7 linked regions of the Callithrix jacchus genome follow. The protein of the gene in region 3 interacts with the protein of the main gene of each other region in a pairwise test. Links are inferred from orthologs where the notes say so. Each region holds a gene or a part of one and is shown on either strand. Other genes may lie near its edges. The genes, in order: LAX1, NEFL, NDN, E2F1, APBB1IP, SERTAD3 and EEF1AKMT1.

Region 1 (4,135 bases), on a different chromosome or scaffold from region 3:
GGAAAGATAAGATAAGTGAGGCCCTGAAATGATCACATGCAATGGAAAAGTTCTTTCAAAAAAACTTTTCTCTTTTTAAGTAGCAGTCATGGTTCTGAGGTTTGGTTCCATGCACCCTTCCCTTGTACTGCTTTCCAAGTTCCTGGTTCACACACAGTCCCATCAGCATGATAAATCTTGTGAGTAGTCCTAGTTCCTACCCAGACCTGATCCAAAGAAGTGGGCAGAGACCCGGGTTCCAGCTCCAGAATCAGCTGCCTCTGAGCCATTTCTGCTTCCTGCAAGGTGAAGCTCCTGGGAGGGAAGGAGTCCGGGACCTGGAATGATACAGCTCCTTGGAAAGCCGGTCAGGGCTAGTCTGCAGCCCCTGGGGACTCTGTGAGAGTCTAGACCCAGACAGGCCAGGGGTTGCCAGCTCAGGAAAGCTGAGGACCTCAGTGTCCACTGGGAAGAGATGGGAGGGAAGCATGAGTGCTGCTGGTCTTCCCCCCGATTCATTATCTGGGAATCCATTTCCTTGCGGAAAGTGCAATCAGAGAGGTTCTTCTTCACATCCTCACAACAGTCTTAGTGGCCCTTTCTCTTTGGACTCTCCCAAGATGCAAAGAGTGTTTCTAGAAATTAGTAGGCTCAAGAAGGGAGGGGAGCTAGCAACAGATTTCGACCAATCCTCACAGTTTGGAAGATTTTGGGTAGCTCTCAGGGATGAACTATCCAGCTTCTGTGACAGGTGTGTGACAAGTAGGACTATGACTGATCTTCAAAAGAACCCTGAGAACAGGAGATTCCCAGAAGCCAGGAGCTGTGGAAGGTCACCTTAGGGGAGCAGAGGCCCTGCTAACCCAGCATAGCATCCATTCTTAAGGTAGTGCCCAGAGCAGAGATTCCCGAAACTTGACATACAGACCAGCTCTGTCAAAATCACCTGGAGAGCATCGATGTCCAAAGCCTGCCCTCCACTTACTGAATCAGAGGAGGGTCCCAGAGATCTGCATTTGTCTGTCTCTAAAAGGCAACCTCCAGTGCTCCTTAGACTTGCTTAGAAAACACTATAAATTCGAAGACTTGTAAAACTCTAAATGTCTCAGAACCCCAGGGTAAAGAATCACAAGTTCTCTACCACCCTGCCCCATTTTTAATCACACTCATCATAGACCACAGAGCACCTGGCAAACCCAGGGAAGATATGTTTTCTTCTAGCAGATTAAGAACTGAGCAGCGTTTCCTGTGCCCTGCATTTCATTAGCACATTGGTGGTGCTGTTTCCGGTGACTGACTCTCTGTTTCCATTCTGGCAAAGTGGTTTGCTCTTTTCACTTTGCTTTGGGTGTTGAAGGAAGATGAGCTTCTCACGGAGCCTCTCTTGAGCCTCTTGGCAGTTTCCCCCTCCGTGCCCCTTATGTTTCCACCAGAAGGCAGAGGCCATAGATTCTCTCTGAGCCACCTCACTCGGAGGCACCACGTCCGGATGAGATTGCACTCCTGCAGTGGGCATTAGCCACATCCAGGTAGAACCAAACCTGAGCTTATGTATTTTGGGTCAACTCAGCCTGACACTTCAGAGGTAGACACAAGATAGGAAGTTTGTTGGGGGTGGTGGAGGTGATAGACATGCTGGGTAACTGATTATGATTCAAAGAAACTTAGAAGCTGAATCCAGAGAGCATCTGAAAGGTTCCTGAGACAATGGATGGTGTCACCACAACCCTTCCGACAATCGGAGAGAGGATCTTGGAGTTCAACACTCTGCATGTGACTCCCAGCAGCCCAGACAGGTAAGTGACTCAGGGTGGTGAGCTCCACCCTCCCCTGATTGAGGCAGAAGGTCTTAGTCCACTCCTAAGAGCTTCTTATACAGCAGTGATGCCACCTCTCAGCACCCAGGCTGACCACTAAACTCTAGGATTGGAGGCTTTTCTTCAGGGGTGCTAGGGGGAAAGGCAGGTATTGAGGAAACAAAGAGGATATTGTGGTTGAAGAAAAACTGTGATAACACTGGTCCTGAAAACCTGGACTAGCTTTAGTTGGATTTCTCACCTCTCAGAGGCCCTGAACCCTGGTGTCAATCTTTCCTAGATGTCCCCATGACAGAAACAAAAAACTGAGTTTTCCAAGGATGTGTTTTGAGATCCGAAAACTTGCCATGAGTAAAAAAGTGTAGTGATAGATGTAATAAAGATATGTCTTTAGGACATAAATTCTTACAGAACTAACTAATCGTGGGTATAAATTACTGCTAATCCTTTCAATCTCATACAAACAAAACTAAAAATCCATCAGCAGTTGAAACTTTAAAAACATTGATAGCTATAAATTTCAGTATTATAATAAAAATATAACCCAATGACAATTTTTAAATTGCAGTCATTTTGAGGCCGGGCATAGTGGCTCACGCCTGTAATCCCAGCACTTTGGGAGGCCAACGTGGGCGGATCACCTGAGGTCAGGAGTTTGAGACCAGCCTGGCCGACATGGTGAAACCCCATCTCTACTGAAAACACAAAAATTAGCCAGGCGTGGTGGCATCTGCCGACAGTCCCAGATACTTGGGAAGCTGAGGCAGAAAAATCACTTGAACCCTGGAGGTAGTGGTTGCAGTGAGCCGAGATCATGCCATTGCACTCCAGCCTTGGTGACAATACAAAAACTCTGTCTCAAAAAATAAAATAAAATAAAATTGCAGTAGTTTTGGGAAATAAATGTTATTAGCCTGGCAAACACATGTCACTTGCAGGTAGATACAAGCATTGATGAGCAATGAATTCACAAAACTCAGAAGCCTGAAGCATCCCTCCAAAAGTATTTCTTTCTTTCTTTCTAATTAGCAAATCAAAATTATATATATTTATCATGATACCCTATTGTTTTGAAATATGTATACATTGTGCAACAGCTAAATTAAACCAATGAAAATACACATTACTTCACAATATTTTTGTGGTGAGAATACTAAAACTTTCTCAGTAATTCTCAAGAATATGACATTTTTATAACTATAGTCACCATGTTACACAACAGATCTCCTGAACTTACTCTTTCTCTAAGTGAAATTCTGAATCCTTTGACCAACATCTCTGCAACCCCTCCCTGGTAACCAGCATTCCTCCATTTCTATGAGTTCAGCTGTCCACTCCACATGTGAGTGAGATCATCTGGTATTTATCTTTTTGTGCCTGGCTTATTTCATTTAACATAACAACCTCTAGTTTCATTCATGTTGTCAAAAATGACAGGATTCCCTTCTTTTTTAAAGGCTGATTAGTATTCACTTTTTTTTCATCTATTGATGGATATGTAGGTTGAGTCCACATTTTGACTATAGTGAAATAAGTATGGAGTGTAGGCATGCTTTTCAAATACCGATTTCATTTCCTTCAGATATATCCCCAGTAGTGAGATCACTGGATCATATGGTAGTTGTTGTTGTTGTTGTTGTTGTTGTTGTTGTTTTGAGACACAGTCTCGCTCTGCTGCCCAGGCTGGAGCGCAATGGCATGATCTTGGCTCACTGCAACCTCCACCTCCCGGGTTCAAGCAATTCTCCTGTCTCAGCCTCCTGAGTAGCTGGGATTATGGGCATGTGCCACCATGCCCAGCTAATTTTTTTTTTTGCAATTTTAGTAGAGATGGGGTTTCATCATGTTGGCCAGATTGGTCTTGAACTCTGACCTCAAGTGATCCACTCACCTTGGCCTCCCAAAGCGCTGGGATTACAGGAGCTAGCCACTGCACCCAGCTTTGGTAATTTTATTTTTAATTTTCTGAAGAACCTCCATAGTTTTTCCATAATGGCTGTACTACACTCAAAACTATTTCCATATTAATTCTTTCATTAATTCAGTCACTCATTCATTTAACAAATATTCATCGGGGCCTTACTAAATACCAAGCCCTGTTTAGGGCACTAGTTAAACAGGATAAAGGAGTCCATAACCTCCTGAAGCTTATAGTCAAGTTGGAGAGTCAAATGATAAACAAGGCTGAGCATGGTGGCTCACACCCATCATCCAAGCACTTTGGGAGGCCGAGGCAGGAGGATAACTTGAGCCCAGCAGTTACCAGTCTGGGCAACACATGGAGACTGTCTTAAAGTTTTTTTTTTCTTTAGTTAAAAAAAAATGATAAACGGCCAGGT
Region 2 (3,129 bases), on a different chromosome or scaffold from region 3:
AAGCCAAGGATGAGCCTCCCTCTGAAGGAGAAGCCGAGGAGGAGGAGAAGGACAAGGAGGAGGCTGAGGAAGAGGAGGCAGCCGAAGAGGAAGAAGGTATGATAAGAAACAAACCCCTGCAACTTCAAGTGCAAACTGGGTGTGGATATTTGTTAGGTGGTGGATAAGACAAATGAAGCCTTGCTTATTTATTCATATATGATTTTAGAAGCATAAATAATTTTTCTGCTTGTTCAACAAACCTTTTCTAAGCACCTACTCTGAATGAGGTCAAAATGGACCTCATTGGTCAATTGGTCAAAAATTTCATTTTTAAATACATTCATTTAACATAACAGGTCGGTGTCCTAAGGAATAAAAATAGATACCAGACACCTAAAAAAAATAGTGAGGTTAAATCTTTGGGAGGAGCAGAGCTTTCCATGCCTAGAAGTGGTCTCATTCCATTTAAATATGTGTTCAGTGGCAAATTATTCATGGCAAGCGTTGTTTGTTACATGTGCTTTTGGAGAGAATGGAGCTGGGAGGTTGTGGTGAGCACTCTGACGGTTTCATCTGCATTCACAGATAAAACCTTAACAGCCATGTTTTGACTGGCCTTACCTTGGATTTGGATTTTGTACACTTTCTTTTTATGTTCAAGCTGCCAAGGAGGAGTCTGAAGAAGCAAAGGAAGAAGAAGGAGGTGAAGTTGAAGAAGGAGAGGAAACCAAAGAAGCTGAAGAGGAGGAGAAGAAAGTTGAAGGTGCTGGGGAGGAGCAAGCAACTAAGAAGAAAGATTGAACCCCCATTTCCTTAATTATGTCAGGAACAATTCTCCCGAAATCAGGTCAACCCCATCACCAACCGACCAACCAGTTGAGTTCCAGATCCTGTGTGAATTAAAAAGTCAATATATGTATAATTCTGAGATGACTTAGGTTGGACATTCAATGTTGTGCTCTGAATTTCCTCTTTATGCAGAGTATCTGTTTGCTTGCAGAGTGGCTTTCTGGCTTGCTGCCAGCCTGTGCATGGTCCACGCTTATGAGTTCAGGAACTATGGCAATGTGAATGATTCAGATGTTTACAATAAAAAACACCACATGAGTAAATGAATTCACTAATGTTAATGTTAAACTTCATGGAAAAATAGTCCTTTGAACCTTTGGTGGTTAGCAGTTCAAGACCTTGAGTTATGTGCAATAAATAGTAAATAAAGTTATACCTAATGATGTATTTTTTGCTCTGGTTGTTAATCAAAATACCTTAAAGTTGGCACTGGTGTAAAGTATATACCAGTGGACTATTGACCTCCATAAGAACTCCAAGTTTTAACAATTACCAAGACTTTTCTTTTTGTTCCCTCATTGGAAATTCCGAGGGATACAGTTAGGTCATAACTATTCATGAAATCTCTCCCCTCAAAAATGTTACTGATAATAAACATGAGTAAATGAGAATGTCTATAAAAACAATAGACTTTGCCCCATAGCATATACTGTGTTAGGTTTTGGGATGGCTTTCTAGGGAGCGATTCTGAAAATATTTGACAGATATACTCGTTATGGTAAATAGGTCATTTCAGAGTCCAGAGTGCTAGCCATTATACCATGGAACCACAATAAATAGGTCATTTCAAACTGTTATGTCATAATGCAATATGGTTAGAATATGAATCCCATATATTCATCCCTGTAACTGTATTTTAAAATATAGTCTAAATATCATGGGCAGAGGTTAAAACCTGAGAACGTGGTACCATCAGAAGGAATGACTTATCTATATATAATTTCAGGAGAAGGGACTATCAAAGGTTATTTGTCACTCCACTGCAAACATATTGCCTGCAATTCTGAGCTCATGATTTAGTGTGTTGTTAAGCGTAATTCTGTTGCCTCAAGTAAATAGCATTTAATCTCACACAATTTCAAACCTTAAAAAACTACAGATACAGGTAATGAAATTATGAATCACTTAAGGGGGGAGGTAATATGCTTGTATGTTACATTGACATTGCTCTGCATGTGTCTTGGAAGATATTTGGATTTCACTGATAGCTTGACTGGTTGGACATATTATCAGATACACACCTCATATGTCCTCTCTGTTTATCGAAAAGTTATGAACGCTCTTGCACTTGCATTTGATGTGGAATAAATATATAGATATTATTGACTATCTGCTGTTCTGCCTTTATTCTGAAACAATTGCTTTGTCAGCTAATTTCATTCAATATTTGTTTTTTAGACAATCTTTATAAGTTATGGATTTAAACTGAAACCAAAGTGGTCTCCATTTAAAGTTACTTAATCCCTTTGTACCAACTATATCTAGTTAAATATATGTCACTATGGAAATAGGTAAGCTGTTTCTTTGCCATGATGGTATGGACTGGAATTATGAAAACTCTCAATGTATTGGCTCCTGTGAAGGGGAGACAACTCCTCAGAAACCAAGCTTTTCACATTTATGCTTAGTAGACATGGGATGATGTACATGGCAAGTCTCAAACAGATGCAAGCTACATGCAAAAAGTAACTTTAGCCAAATGAAAATCGCTGGATGCTCTGAGAACTCCTTGGTGGAAGTAAGAACACTGTACCATTCTCTACCCTGTGTGCCATAATAAAATACCAGAAAACCTAAATTGAATTTGAAGTCTTTTTTAACATTTCCCCAAATTTTGTGCTGTGGTCATTGCCCCTTTTCCCTCTGCTCCCCCTAAATTTGTGGTTCTCTTTCAGTATCTCCTCTCCTAGTGAATGATCCCCTCTCCCTAATCATCTGATTCTATTAAACAGACACCTTGAATGACAGCCTACCTCCCATTGCCTCTCCTCTGCCCCTCTAGAATAACCTATCACCAAGTTATAGTGATAACGCCTCCACATTTTAAATCCTTCCAATCCTTTCAATTTATACCGCCACCACTCTAACCTTCTCCCAGGGCCTCCTCTTGGTCTCCCTCATCCCCCTGAATGAAACCCTCTAATAGCTTCCTGCTTTTAGTATGAAAACCGAAATCTCAAATGTGATCTTCAAGGCCTGCATAGTGCTGACCCCTATCTACTTCTCTAACCTTATTTCATTGTACAGCCTTTCCCTCCACTTCAGGTACTCCAGCCACCCTGGTATTCTGTTCTCCCA
Region 3 (3,725 bases):
CAGAAAACCCTTCAACACCAACCTGCTTGAGGAAAATTAAAGTGACAAATGAGAAAAGATAGATACTCATAGTGAGGACTCTAGACATGTCAAGACAATTTTAAAACATGCTTTGGGCTTCAAGTGGCAATAACTAGACTCGAGACAACATATTTAAGAAGCTGCTGATGAGAGGGAACCCGGCAAGGGCTGAAGGACCACATCAACGCAGACCAAGGATGCTGAAGCAGCATGGAGGCCCCTGGTTGTGGAGGCTCCAGCAATGCCCCTTTTTCCACGGACAGCCTCTAGGAGTGACAGCTTTGCCTTGGCCCACTGGGAATCTGTTTTCTATAACTGGAAAACAGGGCTATCCATATGTTGCCCCCGCTACCTTTTGGTCATCTGAGACACCGCCAGATATTGCCCATGGGACCTATATCTTTTTGGAGATCTCAGGAAGGAATGATTTGGGTGTGACTCCCAACACTGAGGACTCAGTAGCTTCAGAGAAGGTCCTGGGAGAAGGTGAATCGGAGAATGAGGTGCTGGGCAGAGGGAAAAATGCATTATCATACAAGTTTGTGCTAATAGATATGGCAATCCTTCTGTTATGGACTAAGCATGGAAAAATAAAAGAAAATGGAATCAAAGTGACTCAAAGTAAGTGTAAAAGCCAAACCTATGCCCATGAAAGCATCAATGATGGTCTAAGCCCACTGCCTCCTGAACAAGTTCACGGCTCACGCGGGTAGGAAATCACGTTAACGACACGCTGCATTTCTCCTTTCCTTATAACCGCATTTCTCCTTTCCTTATAACCCCTCTGATGTGGTAGGGAGGGAGTCAATCAACTTTTTATTGGAATTTCTCAGGATTCCAACCTCGGACATCCGCCTCACAGTTTACACGTCTTCTCGGACAGCCCGACCGTTCCTCTCACTCGTTCACATAAAGCTCCAGTTTGCACAGCCTCCCAGACCTTCCTCTGGGGCTCTCATACTTAACTGGATTCTGGATATACCCAGGCGAGCATTTCCCAGGAAAGTCGACCCCAGCATCCCCAAAACCTGAGTTATCATCTTTCCCCAAAACCTGCTCCTTCTCCACAGGCATCCATCTCCCTCCTCTCCTACCCTGAACTTCCTCGGCCGGAACAGGAAACCCCGGGATCGCTGTCCCGCCAGGTGACGCCTCACCGCGGACCCTCCCCGTCGGGGCCCCTCGCGGCCCCGCCCGCCCCCGGCCGCCCGCCCGCCCTGGCCGCGGTCGCGCAGGCGCAGTGCCGCGTCCCGCCGCCGCCCCGCCCTGCCCGCCGCTGCGGAAGGCGCCGCGCGCAGCAACGCGCACTTCCTCTCCAGGAGTCCGCGGAGGGAGCGCAGGCTCGAAGAGCTCCTGGACGCAGAGGCCCTGCCCTTGCCAGACGGCGCAGACATGTCAGAGCAGAGTAAGGATCTGAGCGACCCTAGCTTTGCCGCCGAGGCACCCAGCTCCGAGGCGCAGAGCAGCCCTGGGGTTCCGGGGGGGGTTCCTCCGTCCGCGACCCTGGCGGAGCCGCAGAGCCCTCCCCTAGGCCCGACGGCCGCCCCGCAGGCCGCGCAGCCGCCCCAGGCCCCGATCGAGGAGGTCGACCCGAAGGCTTTGCTGGAGGCCGCAGAGGAGGGCCGCGCCCACCAGGCCCCGAGCGCGGCCCAGCCCGGCCCGGCGCCGCCCGCCCCGGCGCAGCTGGTGCAGAAGGCGCACGAGCTCATGTGGTACGTGCTGGTCAAGGACCAGAAGAAGATGATCATCTGGTTTCCAGACATGGTGAAAGATGTCATCGGCAGCTACAAGAAGTGGTGCAGGAGCATCCTGCGGCGCACCAGCCTCATCCTCGCCCGGGTGTTCGGGCTGCACCTGAGGCTGACCAGCCTGCACACCATGGAGTTTGCGCTGGTCAAAGCGCTGGAGCCGGAGGAGCTGGACAGGGTGGCGCTGAGCAACCGCATGCCCATGACGGGCCTCCTGCTCATGATCCTGAGCCTCATCTACGTGAAGGGCCGCGGCGCCAGAGAGAGCGCCGTCTGGAACGTGCTGCGCATCCTGGGGCTGCGGCCCTGGAAGAAGCACTCCACCTTCGGGGACGTGCGAAAGCTCATCACCGAGGAGTTCGTCCAACAGAATTACCTGAAGTACCAGCGCGTCCCGTACGTGGAGCCGCCAGAGTATGAGTTCTTCTGGGGCTCCCGGGCCAGCCGTGAAATCACCAAGATGCAAATCATGGAGTTCCTGGCCAGGGTCTTTAAGAAAGACCCCCAGGCCTGGCCCTCCCGATACAGAGAAGCCCTGGAGGAGGCCAGAGCTCTGCGGGAGGCTAATCCCGCTGCTCACTGCCCCCGCAACAGTGTCTCCGAGGACTAGCAAGGTCTGGAGGCAGATGAAATGCTTTCTGACCCTCACCGGGGCTGTGGAAGGGTGGGGGTGGGTCATTAGAGTGTTCGGGATTTACAGTGCAGTATTCACGTGTAACTTTTAAGTTTTCAGTACAGTGCTTTTATACCTTTAATGCAATGTTGTATTCATTTGGGTACTCTTGTGTAGTATTTAGGATGTATGCATGTTTGTTTATATGTAAGCTTGGTTGGTGCTTTCGCTTTTGTGCTACCTTTCTTGGATTTTTGTACCTGAGACATGCTAAACTGACGAAGTACCTTGAGAAAGTTTGCATCTTATTATTTTATATGGGACTGGTGATGTGTGTTGGGGTAGACTGCTCCTGCAGAGTTTGGAAGAACTCACCAGCAAAGCTGGCCTAACCAAGAGAAAAGTCAAGGCTCTTCGTGACCTTGCTGGGCACAGAAGACATTCTCGTGGAGTAAACTGATTTGAACTGGACTGGTCTCAATGTGAGCACTTGGCACAATTTACTAAACACATATACAACCCTACCGTGAGTCAACTTTAAAGTAAACATTAAAGATTCTTGTGATACAATCATTTTTGGAAAAGTGTACTCTTATCATTTTAACAGAGCACTATGATTGGGAATGAGACAATTCTCTATTTTACAATGTGTACAGATGTAACTGTTTCCCCTAATAGGGTGGGAAAAATCGCTACTCGTGATTACTCCTAAATTTGTGAAGGTTATAGTTTTATTGTCTTTAAATGTAATTGTTTATTTCAAAAACATGCACAAATATAAAGTATAAAAACAAAGCAGTATGATTGTCCATCATCACATCATATGAGAATAAAAACTAAAAATAACTTCCTTCCCTTAAGTTTCTATATTTTATCAAAATTAATGGATGTCTTGTGGGCACTTAAAGAGTGAGACATTGTACTCAGCCCTAACATGTATTTTTCCCCTTTTATTTAACCCTCACAACAGGCCTGTGAGGAAGGCATCTACTGCCTTTGCACCATGGAGGAAACAGGAATAATGTAGGTAATTAACTTTCCATAGCTTGTAAAGGTTAGCAAGAGAAGGAGCTGGCACTTCAACTCAGAATGAATCCAGAGCCCACATTTGTCCCCACCTGCCTACAATCCCTCATACACCCTGTGGCTTTTAGGTTATTTATTTTCAAACTTATTTTTACATTTTACGTGGGAGCCCACACTCCCAGCTCCCACCTCCCACACTCACATGCATTCATGGGCCACACAGAGAGAGAGGCTAGGAATTTTATTTTTCTAGTTCTCACAATATTTTGGAGAAAGCAAGATTATTCTGATTGTGTAAATTAAGAAATTTTCATCTT
Region 4 (4,181 bases), on a different chromosome or scaffold from region 3:
TGCCCTCCTCAGCCTCCCAAAGTGCTGGGATTACAGGTGTGAGTCACCGTGCCCCGCCATGCCTCTGGTTCTTTTATAACCTTTCTCAGTGCCTGCTCTGGGTCAGGCCAGTGTTGGGAGGAAGCGCTACTGAGCTTCTAGATTGGCAGGGGAGGCAGATGGAGAAATGTGTGGTCAGTGTTGGAACAGAGGCAGCAGTGGGCAATAGAGGAAGTGAGTAGATCCTTGGGAGGGGTCCCTAGAAGAAGTGATGTGTTTTGTTTTTGTTTTGTTTTAGAGACAGGATCTTGCTCTGTTGCCCAGGCTGGAGTGCAGTGGCATGATCATAGCTCACTGCAGCCTTCATTTCTCGGACTCAAGCAATCCTCCCACCTCAGCCTCCCAAGTAGCTGGAACTACAGATGGACACCACCACGCCTGGCTAATTTTTGTATTTTTTGTAGAGAAGGGTTTCACCATGTTGCTCAGGCTGGTCTCAAACTCCTGGGCTCAAGAGATCCACCCTGCCCGTTGATTATAGTGATTCCAGGCATGAGCCACCGCTCTGGACCAATGCTTCATCCTATTGTAAACGTCTGTTACCTCTCTGTCCCCTATCCAGTAGACTGTGAGCTCCTTAGGGCCACGAATTAAGGATGGGGGCACAGAGTTAAGGATGGGCACAGAGCAGGCTCTCCTGACGTTTGTTGAATGAGTGAGGGAATGAATTAGTTCAAGCAGACGCTTTACTTGGCCATTGTAGATTTTGGCTAAAATGGGACTTGCAGGAAAGCCCCAGGCTAATATCTGGCGGGTCGTCCCTCCTCATTTCCTGGTACCGCTCTTCAGCTTGGGCTTTGGGTGAGTGGGATAGGGCTGGGTGCAGGGTTAGGATAATGTCATGGGTGTGGTAAGTTGAGGATAGGAGAGGTGGCTGATGGCTGGGCTGTGGAACTGATGATCCCGAAAAGAAGAGGGGGCAGTTTCTGGAGATGTGGGCTGAGGTTGTGGGGGCTACAGGTTGAGGGTCGCGTGAACAGAGGCTCTGTCCTGAACCTGCACTATAGAAAGGTCAGTGGGATGCGGGAGCGTCGGGGCGGGGCCATGTTCCAGTGTCCCCACGCCTCCGGCAGGGGACGCTCGGCCTGGGGGCGGGGAGTCCGACCGCGCCTGGCACTGTCTGGACAAAGCCTGCGCGCGCCCCGCCCCGCCATTGGCCGCGCCGCCCCGCGCCGCCCCGCGCCGCCGCCCCATCCCTCCCGTCGCCGCCGGTCCGGCGCGCTATAGCCAATAGGAGCCGCTGCCGTCGACTTCGTCACGGCCCGGGCAGCCAATCGTGGCGGCGCTCGGCGGCTCGTGGCTCTTTCGCGGCAAAAAGGATTTGGCGCGTAAAAGTGGCCGGGACTTTGCAGGCAGCGGCGGCCGGGGGCGGAGCGGGATGGAGCCCTTGCTGGGGCCTGCCGCCATGGGCCCGCGCCGCCGCCGCCGCCTGTCACCCGGGCCGCGCGGGCCGTGAGCGCCATGGCTTTGGCCGGGGCCCCTGCGGGCGGCCCATGCGCGCCGGCGCTGGAGGCCCTGCTCGGGGCCGGCGCGCTGCGGCTGCTCGACTCCTCGCAGATCGTCATCATCTCCGCCGCACAGGACGCCAGCGTCCCGCCGGCCCCAGCTGGCCCCGCGGCGCCCGCCGCCGGCCCGTGCGACCCCGACCTGCTGCTCTTCGCCACTCCGCAGGCGCCCCGGCCCACACCCAGCGCGCCGCGCCCCGCGCTCGGCCGCCCGCCGGTACGGACCCCAGGGACGCCGCGCCGGCAGCACTGCCTGTGCCCCCTGAGCAGACCTGGGCGGGTGCTGTGTTTGGCCTGGAGGCGGCAGGGGGCGGGGGAGGGGTGGACTGAGGCACCCAGGCTGGGCGGTGCAGAGCCTGGCTTGTGCCTCCAGGCTCCGCCCTGGGGTGCGGGGTGACCTCGGGCCGGTCCCTGTTTGCTCCTCTGCTCTGGGCCTGAGCTTCCTCACTAAAGCCTCCCCAGCGTCGGACTCAATGATAATAATGGCCCACGTGTATTCAACTGGCGTTTATTGCACGCCAGGCCTCGGCCGACTTCAAGCCAGCTGAAACTCACAACCCTGCTGTAAGCCGTGTTGTCACTGTGCCCAGCTGACGGAGGAGGACTGAGGCCCAGAGAGGGACAGTGACTTGCCCCTGGTCACACGGCTGCAGGTGGCGGGGCTGGGATTTGAACTGCGGCCTGCTGGCTTCAGATCAGAATTTGCATCTCGGTAGTGAACACAGCTGCTAGGGGAAGTGAAGGCGGGGCGAGGAAGGTCCTGGGGCTTAACCGTTGGTGAGCCACTGAGGAGACCCTCCTTCCTGCCTCGATGCTGACTGCCAGGTGCAGGACTGGCCGGCCAGGCCTCTGGGGACAGCCCTCCTGGCTGGGAGGCCTTCTCTGCAGGGGCGGGGCAGCTGGACCAGCTGCTGATCTCCTCCCTCTGCCTGTCCTTCCATCTGCCACCCTCCACCCTCCCAGGCCCTGGTTGCCATGGAACCTCATTAATCAGACAGACAGACCCCTGAGCCTCTGTAGAAGAACTAGGTGGGCTGGGCCTCTGGGAGCTGGAGAGGAGGCCCCCAGTGCCAGGAGAGAAAATGTCCCAGGGAGATCCTTTAATAAAGCCGTCCCTGAGTGCTGAGCTCAAGACCAGTTCAGACGGGGCGGGGGGTGGGGGGGGGGTGGTGCCCAGAAGAGGTGGCTGAATTACAGTGGGAGAAGGGATTGGAGGCGTAGAAGCCTGGAGCTGGGACCTGTGGGCTGCAGTACAGGGTGTGGAGACCAGTTTGACTGGCGCAGCCTATGGGTGAAGGTGGGGCTCTGATGTGCAGGCAGGGGCTGGTCAAGCAGGATGGGGTCTCAGCAGGGAGCTTGGAGCAAGTGGGAGGGGTGAGGCAGGGCTTAGGACTAGGAGGTAGAAGCTGCCTAACTGCTGATGGGGGTGAGGGTAGCAGCTGGTCCCTGAGGCATCTAAAGGGGCTCCCCCACCCCCTTGGCCTCATGCCCAGTGCTGCCTTCCGGAATCACCACGATGCTAATAATAATAACAATAGCAGCCACCATTGTTTTGAGGATGTCTTATGTGCCAGGCTCTGCCAAGAGCTTTACCTAATTAACTCATTTAACCCCATCAGCAGCAATCCCTTTTTACAGATTGGGAAGCTGAGGCCTAGAAATACTAGAATCTTCCCATGTCATTCTGCTATTGAGCGGGGGGTTGAATCTGTATTTCCTGTGAGGTTGACCTCTGGGATGCATTGCTTTCTAGGGATGCTGATAGAGGCTGAAGAAAGGGCAGGAAGGGCTTTTGGGGGCCCTTCATCTTAATGAGTGGGTGGGAGGGGTGGGCCAGGTGGCTTGTCTCCTGTACTCCGGGGGTTTGTCCCTGTGGGTAGTGCTTGGGACCTGGGCAAGCATCCTCCATTCAGCTGTGTGACAAGCATATAGCAGGCTCAGGTCTGTGGAAACCTAACAGAACCTGAGGGTCTTGTCCTCAAGGAACTGAACAGGATTATGGATTCTAGGATCAGAAGGAGAAACGGGGCAAAGAAGAGTGCCCTCCACTCTACCTGTCAGGGGCAGGCTTATTGGCCCGGGCATTCCATTCATTCAACAGTTGTTGAGTTAGTGAATGCCTAGGAGGCACTAGGCTCAGAGAAAAGGAGCCCCACCCTCAGAGTCCTTCAGGGCCAGGAGGTGTTTTCTGTACTTAGGGGCAGGAGACTGGAGCTGAAGTCCAGAAGGTCCACAGGTTCGGCTTTTGGCCTCTCTGCACTGGCATTTGTCTGGCACAGTCCCTGGAATAAGCTACAGACTTAGCTTCTGTACCAGCAGGCATTCGTTGAACACTGTATACCAGGCTCTGTGCAATTCAGCCATTTCTCTTGGTCCTGCCTGTCCACTTCCACAAACTCAAATATTTTAAACATAATACATGTTTACTGTAGAAAACTTAACTGTTTTTTTTTTTTGGAGACAGAGTCTCATTCTGTTATGCAGGCTGGAGTACAGTGGTGTGATCAGGGCTCACTGCAACCTCCACCTCCGGAGTTCAAGATATTCTGTGCCTTGGCCTCCCAAGTAGGTGGGATTGCAGGCACATACCACCACACCCAGCTAATTTTTGTATTTTTAGTAGAGACAGGGTCTTGC
Region 5 (3,500 bases), on a different chromosome or scaffold from region 3:
AGTATTTTATGAGCCCAAGCTCTTTGATTTTTGCAAGCTAAGGCTCTCTTCTATTTATAATGATGAGGAAATAAGCTGTTCTGGCTACATTCTGATTACTTGAATATGGGCATGTATCTTTTTATAGCAGTGGCTCTCAAATTGTTTTTTGAGCCACAAGCTCCTTTAAGAAAGCCCATAAAGCTTCACAAGTGCATTCAACTTGTACTTTGTTTGCTTTCAGGGGATGCAAGGCCCCCTCAAAATCTTCACGGACCCTACATTAAGAGTCTCTGTTCTATACTGATCTCCATTTTCACGTAAGTTTTTTTTTTTTTTCAAGATGGAATCTTGCTGTGTAGACCAGGCTGGAGTGCAGTGGCGCAATCTCGACTCACTGCAACTTCTGCCTCCCGGGTTCAAGCAATTCTCCCTGCCTCAGCCTCCTGAGTAGCTGAAATTATAGGCACCCGCCATCATGCCTAATTTTTGTATTTTTTAGTAGAGACAAGGTTTCACCATGTTGGCCAGGCTGGTCTTGAACTGGTGATCCCTTGGCCTCCCAAAGTGCTGGGATTACAGGCATAAACCACTGTGCCCAGCCAAATTTTTAAATAATAAATACACAATAGAGCACCGTGTGTGATAGAGTACAATATAATATTTGATTTATATTTAATATTTGTTCATTCTAAAGGCATTATATGACCTTTCAGGGTCCCTAGGGTCTTATTTGTGAGTACCAATCATTGTGACACAGTGCCACAAATGTGGAAGCTGCAGGAAATTGAGCAGAATTTTCCTCTAAAATATTTGGCTTACTCTAAACAAACAAATAAAAATCCTTAAAAGTGCTCTTTTTACTTTTATGAGAGGCATACTAAGAGTTAATATGCCAAATAAAGATAATTTAAGCTTTCCAGTTGTCTGTTTTTCAACATTCAGAAATTTATCAATCTCAAGAACTCATCACCTGCCTGCCTCATAATACCCTCCCCGACTATGACATTACAAGTGATACTTGGATGTACTTGTCCTACTGAACAGGGCTGCCAAGTTCAACAAAATTCAATTTTGCTCTATTCAGAAAATGTATAATGAATGCCTTCTATTCTCTATGTACTGAGCGAGGAACAGGGACATGGAAATATATAATCAGTTCCACAGTTCAATATGATGTTAATAAAACATTTCCCCAAAAGATTGAGTTTTATCAAAGAGTGTTTGCATATAAATATAGTTTTTAAGCAAACTGTAGTAAATTCTGAATATGGCCCTAATACATTCTTGATACACACCCATGTGGCTTGTTTAGGGCGGGTTCTAGCTCTGCAATGAGCATGCTCTGTATCCTCCTTTTTTGGTATCTCAGAGCTTTGGATGTACAAACTTAGGAATGGAATGATCACTGCAAAGAAGGTAGGTAGTAGAGATTGATGGCCCTGCCATCTCTGGTCCCACATGCTTACCTGAGAGAGAGGGTCAGGAGGTGGTGGTGGCAATGGAAGATCTAACACAGGATCAGCTGGTGGAGGTGGTAAGTCTTCCTTATATTGGCTGATACCAATGGCAGCAGCATTTGTTCCATAACCAAGAGGGGCTGCACTGCTGAAATTTGATGCCTGTAGAGATGCTGAATGATGTTGGTTCTGTGAGGACTCTTTCTGTGCCTGGATTGTCCTCTGCTCAGCCTCACTTATGTCTGCTACCAGATCTGCCATGAGAGCATCTAAATCTTGGTCTTCCAGTGCATTTAAGGACTCTAGTGGGGAAAATCACATGAATGGTAAAAACAAGAATTTGCATCTGGAAAAACTAAAAGAAGATAATTTTTAAGAATAACATTTGAGTAGAAAGGAATAATTATTTTGATTTGTTATGATATAATGAGAAGATTGAGAATATTTTAATTCAACAGCACAAGCATAGGAATTCCTAAGAGGATTGCTGCTGCATTTGTCGAGTGCTTAATGCGAGTGAGTTTCTAACACCAAGGAAAAAAAATGGAGGAAATGTGTTCTCTACACTGGGGCACCTGACACACCAGGTATAAAGTCAAATCCAAGCACACAAATACATGCCTAAATAGGAAGTTCTTGCATTATAGTGTAAGATCTAAGAGTTTTAAAAATTGGGGGACGGGGAGCACTGGCAATAGATGGAAGGGGAGTTTTCCCTAAGCACTTGGAGGGCAAACAGAGTACTGCTGATATTTAGAAGAAATTGGGTTTCAACCAACTGGGTTTGATGTGCTTGTGACTTTGGGGTGAAGATGGAGCTTCTATAGGCTCACCACCTAACTATAGTAAACTTAATATTCAGAGAAAGAGCAATTTTTGTTGCTGTTTTTGAGACAGAGTCTCACTCTATTGCCCAGGTTGTGCTGTGGTGTGATCTTGGCTTACTGCAAGCTCTGCCTCCCAGGCTCAAGCAATCCTCCCAGCTCAGCCTCCCAGGTAGCTGGGACTACAGGTGCATGCCACCATGTCCAGCTAATTTTTGTATTTTGTGTACAGACAGGGTTTTGTCATGTTTCCCAGACTGATCTCAAACTCCTGGGCTTAAGCGATCTATCTACCTCACTCTCACAAAGTGCTGGGATTACAGGTATGAGCCACTGTGCCCAGCCAAGAGCAATTAACAATAAATAGCAGAAATTAAAGCACCATAGGTGGCAAGAAATTACAAAAATTATGAGATTGAATGGTAGAAACTTTATGAAGATGGCAAGCCGGCAGTTAACTTTTAAAGAAAGGAAAGACTTAAATTTTCAGAGTGAGAGGGAGGAAGGAGAGATCACCTTAGGATTTCTTCCATATGTGAGATTACTATGGTAGAGCAGATGTGTGATCTTGAACATTGATTAGATCGTGTGGTGTACTGGGGGTGGTGTTGGTGAGTAGTCTTGATGGAGTACTTTGATGATCAGGCATATATTATATGATGAATATAATGAAGAAAGGATGGGCAGGAAGGAAGTGATCCATGAGGAGAATTCTAGCTGCTATAGATATGATGAACCAGACTGAGGAAATGGGAGCAGCTGGAATGAAGCCTACTCAGTAACAAATAAGCTTTGTGAAAGGATACATTGTCAGACATCATCATCATAAATGCCACGCAGCATACAACATTAATGCTAATAGTGCCAGTGTACAGTACTTGGACTAAAATTTCGGTTTCCTAAATGTGGACAAAGAGTTTATTTTACTGTAAGCCATTTTTATACATAACTTTTTTTTTTTTTTTGAGACAGAGTCTCACTCTGTCACCCAGGCTGGAGTGCAATCGCATAGATTCTGGCTCATTGCAACCTCCGCCTCCCGGGTTTCAGTGATTCTCTTGCCTCAGCCTCCCGAGTAGCTGGGATTACAGGTGCACACCACCATGCCCTGATAATTTTTGCAGTTTTAGTAGAAAAGGGGTTTTGCCTTGTTGGCCAGGCTGGTCTTGAACTCCTGGCCTCAACAAACGATGGGCAGGAAGGAAGTGATCCTCTTGCCTAAGCCTCCCGAAGGGCT
Region 6 (4,143 bases), on a different chromosome or scaffold from region 3:
GTGGCCGACAGGGAGAAATCCTCCTCACCCAGGAAGAGGGGCTCAGGGGGCAGGGCAGGGGCAGGAGCCAGGGGAAGTGCGGCCTGCAGTTGCTGGAGGGTGTTGTGGATGAGGACATGCCTGCGGAGGCTGGGTGCTCGGGGGCCCAGGCTGTGCTGGACTTTCTCTAGGGAGATGCGGAGCAGGGCTTGCTGGTAGTTCCGAAGGCCTGCTGAACTCCACTCCCACCTCTCCTCCTCCTCCTCCTCTAAATCAGAGTGTTTCCGCTTCAAGCCTCCCACCATGATGCCCTGTGGAGAGAAGAGGGGCATAGGAGCATGTCAGACACCAGGCACTGTACTGCTGGCTCAAATCCCACTTTCTCAGGCCAACTGAATTGTTGGTGATTTTTAATCATCTGAATCTCAGTTTAATCATCTATAAAATGAAGGCTGTCTGAATCCTACAAGGTTAAGGAGGTGAATACATATAGGATCAAGAAAATAAGGGCTGGGCAGGTGGCTCACGCCTGTAATCCTGGCAATTTGGGAGGCCAAGGTGGGTGGATCACTTGAGGTCAGGAGACCAGGCTGACCAACATGGAGAAACGCCATCTCTACTAAAAATACCAAATTAGCAGGGTGTGGTGGTGTGTGCCTGTAATCCCATCTACTCAGGAGGTCGAGGTAGGAGAATCGCTTGAACCCTGGAGCCAGAGGTTGTATAGTTAGCCAGGATCGAACCATTGTACCATTGTACTCCAGCCTGGGCAACAAGAGCAAAACTCTAGCTCAAAAATAAATAAGTAAATAAATGAAAATAAGATCTGGACTTAAGTACAGCTGGATTTAAATCCTACTTACTTGCCTGTTGTGGTCTCAAACAGGAGTGCATTTACATCCATGGGGATTTCCTCATCTGCAAAATAAGGATCCTAACTCAAGTTCCTCTAAGCCTTAAAACCGTTCTTCCACAGTACTCATTTCTTCAAACATGGAGCACGCAAGATAAGTGTGGAGCAAATGAGACCTGAATTAGAAGTAGGGAACCCCAAATTTTCTGTCTTGGAAACCGCTCAGCTGCGTGATTGTGGTAAGTGACCTGAGTGAATTTCCTCTTAGGGCCTCAGTTTCCTTATCTGTAAAACGGGGACCTTAAAAAAATACTTCTCACCACCGCTGTCAAGGAGATGAAAAGTATGCATAGGGCCCATCACACAGGAACTGCTTAATAAACAAGAGTTCTGTTTGTTTTGTTAGAGACAGGTCTAACCCGGGGCTGAGTGCAGCTGCGCGATCATAGCTCACGGCAGTCTCCAAGTCCGGAGTTCAAGGGATCCTCTCGCCTCAGTTTCCTGAGTAGCTGGGATTACCACCACACCCGGTCTCGATCAAGAGTTAATTGCCAATTATTCACCCAACAGATTTACCGAGTGCCTACTATATTCGAGCCTCCTGGAGCCCTCTTGGGGCACCTGTATGTTGTGATTCTTCTTCTACAGTCAGGATATTTCTGTCTATGCCCTCTTCCTTAACCGACGGGGAGCGCTCCCAAGAGTAGGAAAGGGGCCCTGCCTCATTCCCGCTGCTGCGCTTTCAGCTTCCCCCAAAGCGCGCCCCATAGGAAAACTTGCTAGAACTCAGCTCAGACCAAGCCCCGCCCCCAGGGGACCCACCCAATCAGGCCTCGGTGCTGCAAGGCCCCGCCCCTTCACGGGTCCTTAGAGACTCCAGAAACGCCCCAATTTGGCCCAAGGTCTTCTGGGAAACGGGGGCCAACAGCCTCCAGGTACACGAATTGACGTCGGGCACGCACCACAATCCCCAGGGGGCTCCGCTCCTCCAGGGGACGAACCCACTCCCCCGCCCTCCCTCAGGGCATGCGCACAGGGGCAAGGGCGGGTGGGGGAAGGGCACCCGGACGTCCAGCTGCCGGCGGCCGCCGAGCCCCGCCCTCCGTTGCCTCCCGGGCGGTGAGTCTGAGCTCCACGCCCGGAACACCCCTCCCCCACCCCAGACTCCGGCTCTAAATCTGCCTTCTCCTGGTGCCTCCGTTCCTTCAAAGTCCGGGATTCTCGTCCCGAGACCCAAGTCCGAACACACCGCTCAATGACTACAATGCTACGATCTAGTTCGGGAGACTACGTATCCTAATTTTGATACTTCCACTTCTATTCTCCTGACTTTCAAACGCCCCTGGACTTCTCCAAACTCGCTGTCCGGCTCCAAGACCCGAACATTGAAATCTTTCCGGCAACCCCCTTTCTTTCCCCCACCAGTGCGTCTTGGAGTCCAAGAATCCTTGACTCTATCTCGCTTCTCCAAATGCTCAGGATCTCACTCTCAAACCTCTCATACCTTTTCCAAGAACACGATAACGCCCCGAATTCATCCTGTCCCGAAGACCCAAGTGGAATCGAATCTCCAGGTTCCCCATCTCAAAAGTTCCTCCCCTCTGTTCTCTCGCTTCTTCAAACGCCCCACGTCCCAGTTTCGAACTCCCTCCAATTGAAAATACTGCCCCAACCTTGCCTCCCCTCCGGGGTCTCGAACTCTGTCTCGGGTCCCCAGACCCTCCCTATTAACACCCTGAATCTGAGACCCCCCCACCCCGGTCTCACCCAGACCCCGCCTCCGCAGATCTCCGGGGCGCGCCTCTCCCTCCTCCAGCCCAAGGTAGATTCCCAAGCCAGGCTATCGCTCTTCACCTCAGCTACCAGGTTCTCCACGACCACCTTCAGGAACGCCAGCAGCGTCGCGACCAGCCAGTGCCGGGACCCACCAGTGACGGGCTGGGACCTCGCTCACCGCGGCGGGACCTCTCCGTCTGGCCTCGGGCCCACCCATTCCTGCCCCGTAGCCGAGCCGCGATTGGCTGGAGGCCTGCCCGCCGCGGGGCGTCGATTGGCTGGGCGGAGCCACCGGCCCTGGCCCGGAGACGCCGGACCCGCCTACCCCTTCCTAGCGCCCTGAGCCATTTAAAGAAGTGCTACTGGCAGGGGGCGGGGCACCGCCTCGGGGGTGGAGGGCGGTGGAGCCAGCAGAACCGCTTCCTTTCACTCAGCTACCGTCTTTGCTCCAAGAGCGTCACCATTGCTTCCTGTGGTCCCTTTTTGATACGTCTGGACCCCTCCGCGGAGCCACAGAGGCTGATATGATCCTCCCTACCCTGCTGTCCAGGAGGGCGGGGTCGAGCAGCCGTAGGAGGCCGTGCCCCGGGGGTTCCGAGGGCGGACGCTGGGGCGCGGGGGATGACGTAGCAAAAGACCAGCCAATAGTGTGGTGTGGCCGTGTTGCCTAGGTGACCGGAGTCCCGCCCCCTTACTGCCCTTCTCTTGTTTCCCCCCGCGCCTCACGTTACTCCTCAGTCCCTTCTAAATCCCCTGGTTTTCTCAGCACCTCCTCTGGTGGTCCCTTCTGGGACACCCTCTCTCCTTCCCCGCCCCATCAAGATGACGACTCCGCTTCTGTTCATGGCTTCCTACCGCCCCGAAGACAAACTTCAAACTTCTTCCTTTTGCCACAAAGCCCCTAACGACCTGGCCTGATGCGCTCTCCTGGTTCTTTCCGATCCTACCCCACTGAGTCACTTCGTTTTTCTAAAATGGCTTCAAGCTCCCCTTCCCCCATCACGAAAACGTAAGGATTTTGCATGTTTTCTTCCCAGCCTTAACAAGTGTCTCCAACAATGCCAGGCACGCAATAACTTCTCAAAAATGACAACAAAAGGCTTCTAAATCTTTATTATTAATAATATATATGTATATTTTGTCGGGTGTGGTGGCTCACACCTGTAATCCCAGCACTTGGGAGGCCGAGGCGGGCGGATCACCTGAGGTCGGGAGTTCGAGACCAGACTGACCAACAATGTTGAAACTCTGTCTCTACTAAAAATACAAAAATTAGCTGGCCGTGGTGGCGCACGCTTGTAATCTTAGCCACTTGGGAGGCTGAGGCAGAAGAGTAGCTTGAACCCGGGAGGTGGAGATTGCGATGAGCCGAGATTGCGCCACTGCACTCCAGTCTGGGTGACAGAGCGAGACTGGGTGACAGCCTGACAAACATGGAGAAACTCCGTCTCTACTAAAAATACAAAATTAACCAGGTGTGATGGTACATGCCTGTAATCCCAGCTACTCTGGAGGCTGAGGCAGAAGAATCACTT
Region 7 (4,136 bases), on a different chromosome or scaffold from region 3:
CTAAGGCAGTTTTGTTTATTGAACAACACCTCCGTAAAAAATGCACTTATAAAAGTTGGTTATTGTTTCTTGGTTTGTGTTAATTTCTTTTAGTTTGTTTTATATATTTTCTTCCTGATCCTTTTCCAGGATACACATGATCTTGAAATATTTGGTTAATAGACTTGTCATCAATTCAAAACAAAGTCAAAATGTAGCATGAGTTATTATAAACTGGGAACAGTTCTTAAAATAGAAATGATAGTACGCCCAACATTATAAGCCTACTGCTTCATGAACTACTTACTGAATGGCGGCATCTGCCAGCTGAACAGTTCGTTTATATTCTTACCTTATACCAGAAAGGATTTTCAAATTGCTCAGCATTAATATAACTTAGCAAGATCACGAAAGTGGTAAAGAAAATAGAGGAAAGGGAGGTAGGAGCATAATGTAGATTGATTTCTTGGGGAATTGAAAACAAATACTTTGTATCAGTTACAATTTGATAACTGCCAAAACCTAGGAAAACCTTGTAATCAGTGCCTGTGTGTGCCAGATAATTAAGGTATTGTTGACAAAAATCGTATATACTTATCAGTGCTAGATAGATAGATTGATTGATTGATTGATTTGATTGATTGATTAATGCACTCAACACTGTGGACTCTGAAAGACTAGCGAGTTTTAAAGATTCCCCCCACCCCGCGCCAATTTTTACCAAAGCCTCAATTTGATGTCAACAATTGAAGTCAACGTTTTGATTTGATTAAAAGACTAAGTAGACAAGAGACCGATGAAGCCTTGACTTTAAAAACCTACATGATTCGGTGCAAAACAGTAGGTTTAACTTTAGGATCTTAAATTTATTTTATTTTTTGATACAGTGTAGTGGAGTTTAGCTGCCCGATCTCGGCTCACTGCACCCTCCGCCTCCCGGATTCTCCTTCCTCAGCCCCCCGAGTAGTTGGGATTACAGGCCCACGCCACTACAGCCGGCTAATTTTTGCATTTTCAATACAGACGAGGTTTCACCATGCTGGCCAGGCCGGTCTCGAACTTCCTGACCTCAGGTGATCCTCCCCATCTCCTCGACCTCCCAAAGTGCTGGGATCACAGGTGTGAGCCACCGCGCCCGGCCAGGACCTTAAATTTTTATTGCCACCATTCTTGGAGGCAACTGATGAGACACTTGAGGGAACGACTCCGGGTTGGTCACAGCCCCCAGGGTTCTAAGCACGGGATTGAGACGCTGCCTATAGACTGCCTGGCTTGCCCACGAGCCGAGGCGTGTGCGCCTGCGCCTGTGTCGGCGCCTGTGCGAGCTCGACACTGGCCCGCCCCTCCCACTGCTCGCGGCTGGTCAGGGTGACTGCGCACGCGCGGCTGGTGAGTGACGCTTTCGGGCGCGGACGTGGGGTTGACTGCGCGCAGCCGAGGGGTTTTGGACTCGGTTAGGTTCCTTTTGCATGTTAGTTTCTCACCTTTTCCAGCACTGTAGTGGTGGAAAGCTTTAATTAGCGGTGGCTGGCGGATGCCTGAGGGAAGGCGCTGGCGCCGGCCTGAGAGGGGACCCTGGTTGCCGATTGGGCGCGGCCGGGCCTCGTGTCCTGGTCGCCGGAACGGGCCGCGTCCTATGCCGCGCACATTGGCGCCCGGGCCTTAGGCAGCCTTGATGCTGAGGGGGAAATTAACCCCCAGGCTATGGCAGCGCGGGAAGGCCTCCCTTCCGAGCAGAAATTGGACTGGGCCTCTGTCCTTTCCATCTTTGCCCTCAGAAGTTCTCAATGCCGGGCCCGGCTTTACTGTGCGCTCCTGGAGAGCGGGTATCCGCAGCGCCGGTTGCTGGAGCTTCTGAGGCGGGTCCTCTGCCGGGTGCCGGGGCTTGGGAGGTGGAATAGACTAGGACGCAGGCGACTTTACTTGAAAAAGGGCAGTAGCTTCGGAGGTGCGGGAGAGATGCTGGGATGTTCGTGGGTCTCTAGCCGGAGGAAGCCACATGTCAGACAGGAAGGTCTTCCTGATAGGGGTTTTGATGGGGTGTACGTTACAACGTCGCACTGCACACCTGCGACCTGCATTTAACTGTAAGCGTTACTTCCTTTTAAAAGTTAATTTTAAAACAACAGAAATAAATAGAATTTTGAAAAGCAAGAGAGAACTGTTTGAGGCAGGGGGACTGAAAGATGCAAAGAGAATGAAAAACTTTGGCCCTTTTCTAGATGTAAATTGGATTAAGGGTAGAATCATACAGCAATCTACAAAAAATATTTGGAGAATATCTAGGCCTTCCCCATTCCTAGAGGGAGCGTTGCTCTCCTGCGGTTTCCTGGAGTCTGGAGTGGCTCCTAGGTTAATCCTCTCTCTGCTAGATCACACTGTCTTAACCTAATTTCACGCGAGAATGATTGTGGAGATTACAGTATGGTGGTTTTGCCCTAAGTAAATGTGATAACATGGAAATTGAGTAATTGTATACAAAAAGAGACTAATCACAGCCCATCAGAAGCTGGCTAACCCCTGCTTATGCTGCAAGCCAACATGTCCGCCCCTTTGCTCATGCTGTTCCATCTTCTGGAATCGTCACTCTTCATCCTTACCTTTTCCTCAGGCCGAGTTGACGCTCCACCTGCTCTTTCACGCCTCTGCCCACTCGCCCTCTACTCTGATCCCATGGTGTGAATGGTGCTGCCCTGTAGAGGGCCTCCACCTTACCTTTGGTGTTCGCCATGTGTATGCCTAACCTAGAGTTTCTCAACCGCAGCTTGTAGGGCAGGATACTTCTTTGATGTGGAGCTGCTGTCCTGTGAATTTTAAGTTCAGCAGCCTCTATGCCAGTAACAACCTCCTTTCCATTTATGGCAACCAAAACTGTCTCCAGGCATTGCCAGATGTCAAAAGGGCTCCTGGTTTTATGAGAACTGCTGATCTAGAGTGTGAGCCACATAAGGTCCAGGATCAGTTTAATAATAATGTAATTATGATATAATCCATAGGTAAAAGTTTTTAAAGAAAAAAAAATTTTTTTAACTGCCTCTTGTGGTGCAGGGCTACCCCATAGACAGTATGCCCAGAGTAGCCATAAAAATTTTTTAAAAAGAATAGTAATAAAACAATACTTCACAGCACTTTTGGATTTGAAAAAAATCTTGCAACCCCCCCTTAGAAATTCTAAAAATAATAAAGATGATAAAAATAGTAACTTAAAACATAGCTAAAAATAGGTTCACTTCGTTTAAGTTTTTTTTTTTTGAGATGGACTCTCCCTCTTGTGGCTCAGGCTGGAGTGCAACGGTAAGATCTCTGTTCACTGCAACCTCCATCTCCCCAGTTCAAGTGTTTCTCCTGCCTCAGCCTCCCGAATAGCTGGGACTACAGTCACCCTTCACCACGCCTAGCTAATTTTTGTATTTTTAGTAGAGATTGGGTTTCACTATGTTGGCCAGGCTGATCCCAAACTCCTGACCGCAGGTCACCTGCCCGCCTCGGCCTCCCAAAGTGCTGGGATTACAGATGTGAGCCACCACTCTTGGCCATTTCATTTAATCTTTAATGTTTATTTTGCTAACAGATTTCATTTACTTCATTAGAAGAAGTGATGCACTTTTGAACTCGCTTTAACAATGCAGAAAACATTCTATGATTCCGAAAATTGCCACCTGTGCTCTCCATGTGTTCCTCCATTAATCTTATTGTCATTTAACATTTATTTCATATATATGTTTTAGTCTGTCTCTGCCTCTCTAGAATGTAAGCTCCAATAGCATAAGGACTTTGAGATTCATCACCAAAAACAGTGCTTCCTACATGGTAGAAAATGAATATCAAAGGAATGGATTTGGTACACTTTAAACTTTTATTTTGGGATCAAATTCTTGGGTTGGAACTTAATCGCTTTTTACAGCTATGAAGGTAGACAATTTTAGGCTGGGCACAGTAGCTCATGCCTGTAATCCCAGCACTTTGGGAGGCCGAGGCAGGCAGATCACAAGGTCAGGAGGTCAAGACCATTCTGGCTAACATGGTGAAACCCCATCTCTACTAAAAATACAAAAACTTGACCCAGCATGGTGGCTCATGCCTGTAATCTCAGCACTTTGGGAGGCTGAGGTGGGCAGATCACGAGGTCAGGAGATCGAGACCATCCTGGCAACATG

The links.
Region 1: the proteins of NDN (region 3) and LAX1 interact in a two-hybrid assay, tested with the Homo sapiens proteins (2 studies listed by BioGRID and IntAct). The link is inferred for Callithrix jacchus from reciprocal best matches to the Homo sapiens genes NDN and LAX1.
Region 2: the proteins of NDN (region 3) and NEFL interact in binary tests that used the Homo sapiens proteins (3 or more experiments, as listed by UniProt). The link is inferred for Callithrix jacchus from reciprocal best matches to the Homo sapiens genes NDN and NEFL.
Region 4: the proteins of NDN (region 3) and E2F1 interact in a two-hybrid assay, tested with the Homo sapiens proteins (2 studies listed by BioGRID). The link is inferred for Callithrix jacchus from reciprocal best matches to the Homo sapiens genes NDN and E2F1.
Region 5: the proteins of NDN (region 3) and APBB1IP interact in a two-hybrid assay, tested with the Homo sapiens proteins (2 studies listed by BioGRID and IntAct). The link is inferred for Callithrix jacchus from reciprocal best matches to the Homo sapiens genes NDN and APBB1IP.
Region 6: the proteins of NDN (region 3) and SERTAD3 interact in a two-hybrid assay, tested with the Homo sapiens proteins (2 studies listed by BioGRID and IntAct). The link is inferred for Callithrix jacchus from reciprocal best matches to the Homo sapiens genes NDN and SERTAD3.
Region 7: the proteins of NDN (region 3) and EEF1AKMT1 interact in a two-hybrid assay, tested with the Homo sapiens proteins (2 studies listed by BioGRID and IntAct). The link is inferred for Callithrix jacchus from reciprocal best matches to the Homo sapiens genes NDN and EEF1AKMT1.

What each region holds. Positions count from the first base shown.
Region 1 is NC_133520.1:30,827,008-30,831,142, forward strand, and holds the start of LAX1 (lymphocyte transmembrane adapter 1), read left to right. Parts: upstream 1-1,335; 5' UTR 1,336-1,686; coding exon 1,687-1,775; intron 1,776-4,135. UniProt on the Homo sapiens protein: Negatively regulates TCR (T-cell antigen receptor)-mediated signaling in T-cells and BCR (B-cell antigen receptor)-mediated signaling in B-cells.
Region 2 is NC_133514.1:16,534,021-16,537,149, forward strand, and holds the end of NEFL (neurofilament light polypeptide), read left to right. Parts: coding exon 1-96; intron 97-643; coding exon 644-783; 3' UTR 784-2,629; downstream 2,630-3,129. UniProt on the Homo sapiens protein: Neurofilaments usually contain three intermediate filament proteins: NEFL, NEFM, and NEFH which are involved in the maintenance of neuronal caliber.
Region 3 is NC_133507.1:5,529,829-5,533,553, forward strand, and holds NDN (necdin), read left to right. Parts: upstream 1-1,325; 5' UTR 1,326-1,413; coding exon 1,414-2,379; 3' UTR 2,380-3,225; downstream 3,226-3,725. UniProt on the Homo sapiens protein: Growth suppressor that facilitates the entry of the cell into cell cycle arrest.
Region 4 is NC_133506.1:5,612,550-5,616,730, forward strand, and holds the start of E2F1 (transcription factor E2F1), read left to right. Parts: upstream 1-1,381; 5' UTR 1,382-1,500; coding exon 1,501-1,761; intron 1,762-4,181. UniProt on the Homo sapiens protein: Transcription activator that binds DNA cooperatively with DP proteins through the E2 recognition site, 5'-TTTC[CG]CGC-3' found in the promoter region of a number of genes whose products are involved in cell cycle regulation or in DNA replication.
Region 5 is NC_133508.1:26,771,529-26,775,028, reverse strand, and holds part of APBB1IP (amyloid beta A4 precursor protein-binding family B member 1-interacting protein), read right to left. Parts: intron 1,742-3,500; coding exon 1,449-1,741; intron 1-1,448. UniProt on the Homo sapiens protein: Appears to function in the signal transduction from Ras activation to actin cytoskeletal remodeling. Suppresses insulin-induced promoter activities through AP1 and SRE. Mediates Rap1-induced adhesion.
Region 6 is NC_133523.1:35,998,470-36,002,612, forward strand, and holds the start of SERTAD3 (SERTA domain-containing protein 3), read right to left. Parts: upstream 2,801-4,143; 5' UTR 2,600-2,800; intron 2,535-2,599; exon of another isoform or gene 2,337-2,534; intron 898-2,336; exon of another isoform or gene 843-897; intron 291-842; 5' UTR 285-290; coding exon 1-284.
Region 7 is NC_133506.1:140,451,201-140,455,336, reverse strand, and holds the start of EEF1AKMT1 (EEF1A lysine methyltransferase 1), read left to right. Parts: upstream 1-1,336; 5' UTR 1,337-1,368; exon of another isoform or gene 1,369-2,064; intron 2,065-2,694; exon of another isoform or gene 2,695-2,766; intron 2,767-4,136. UniProt on the Homo sapiens protein: Protein N-lysine methyltransferase that selectively catalyzes the trimethylation of EEF1A at 'Lys-79'.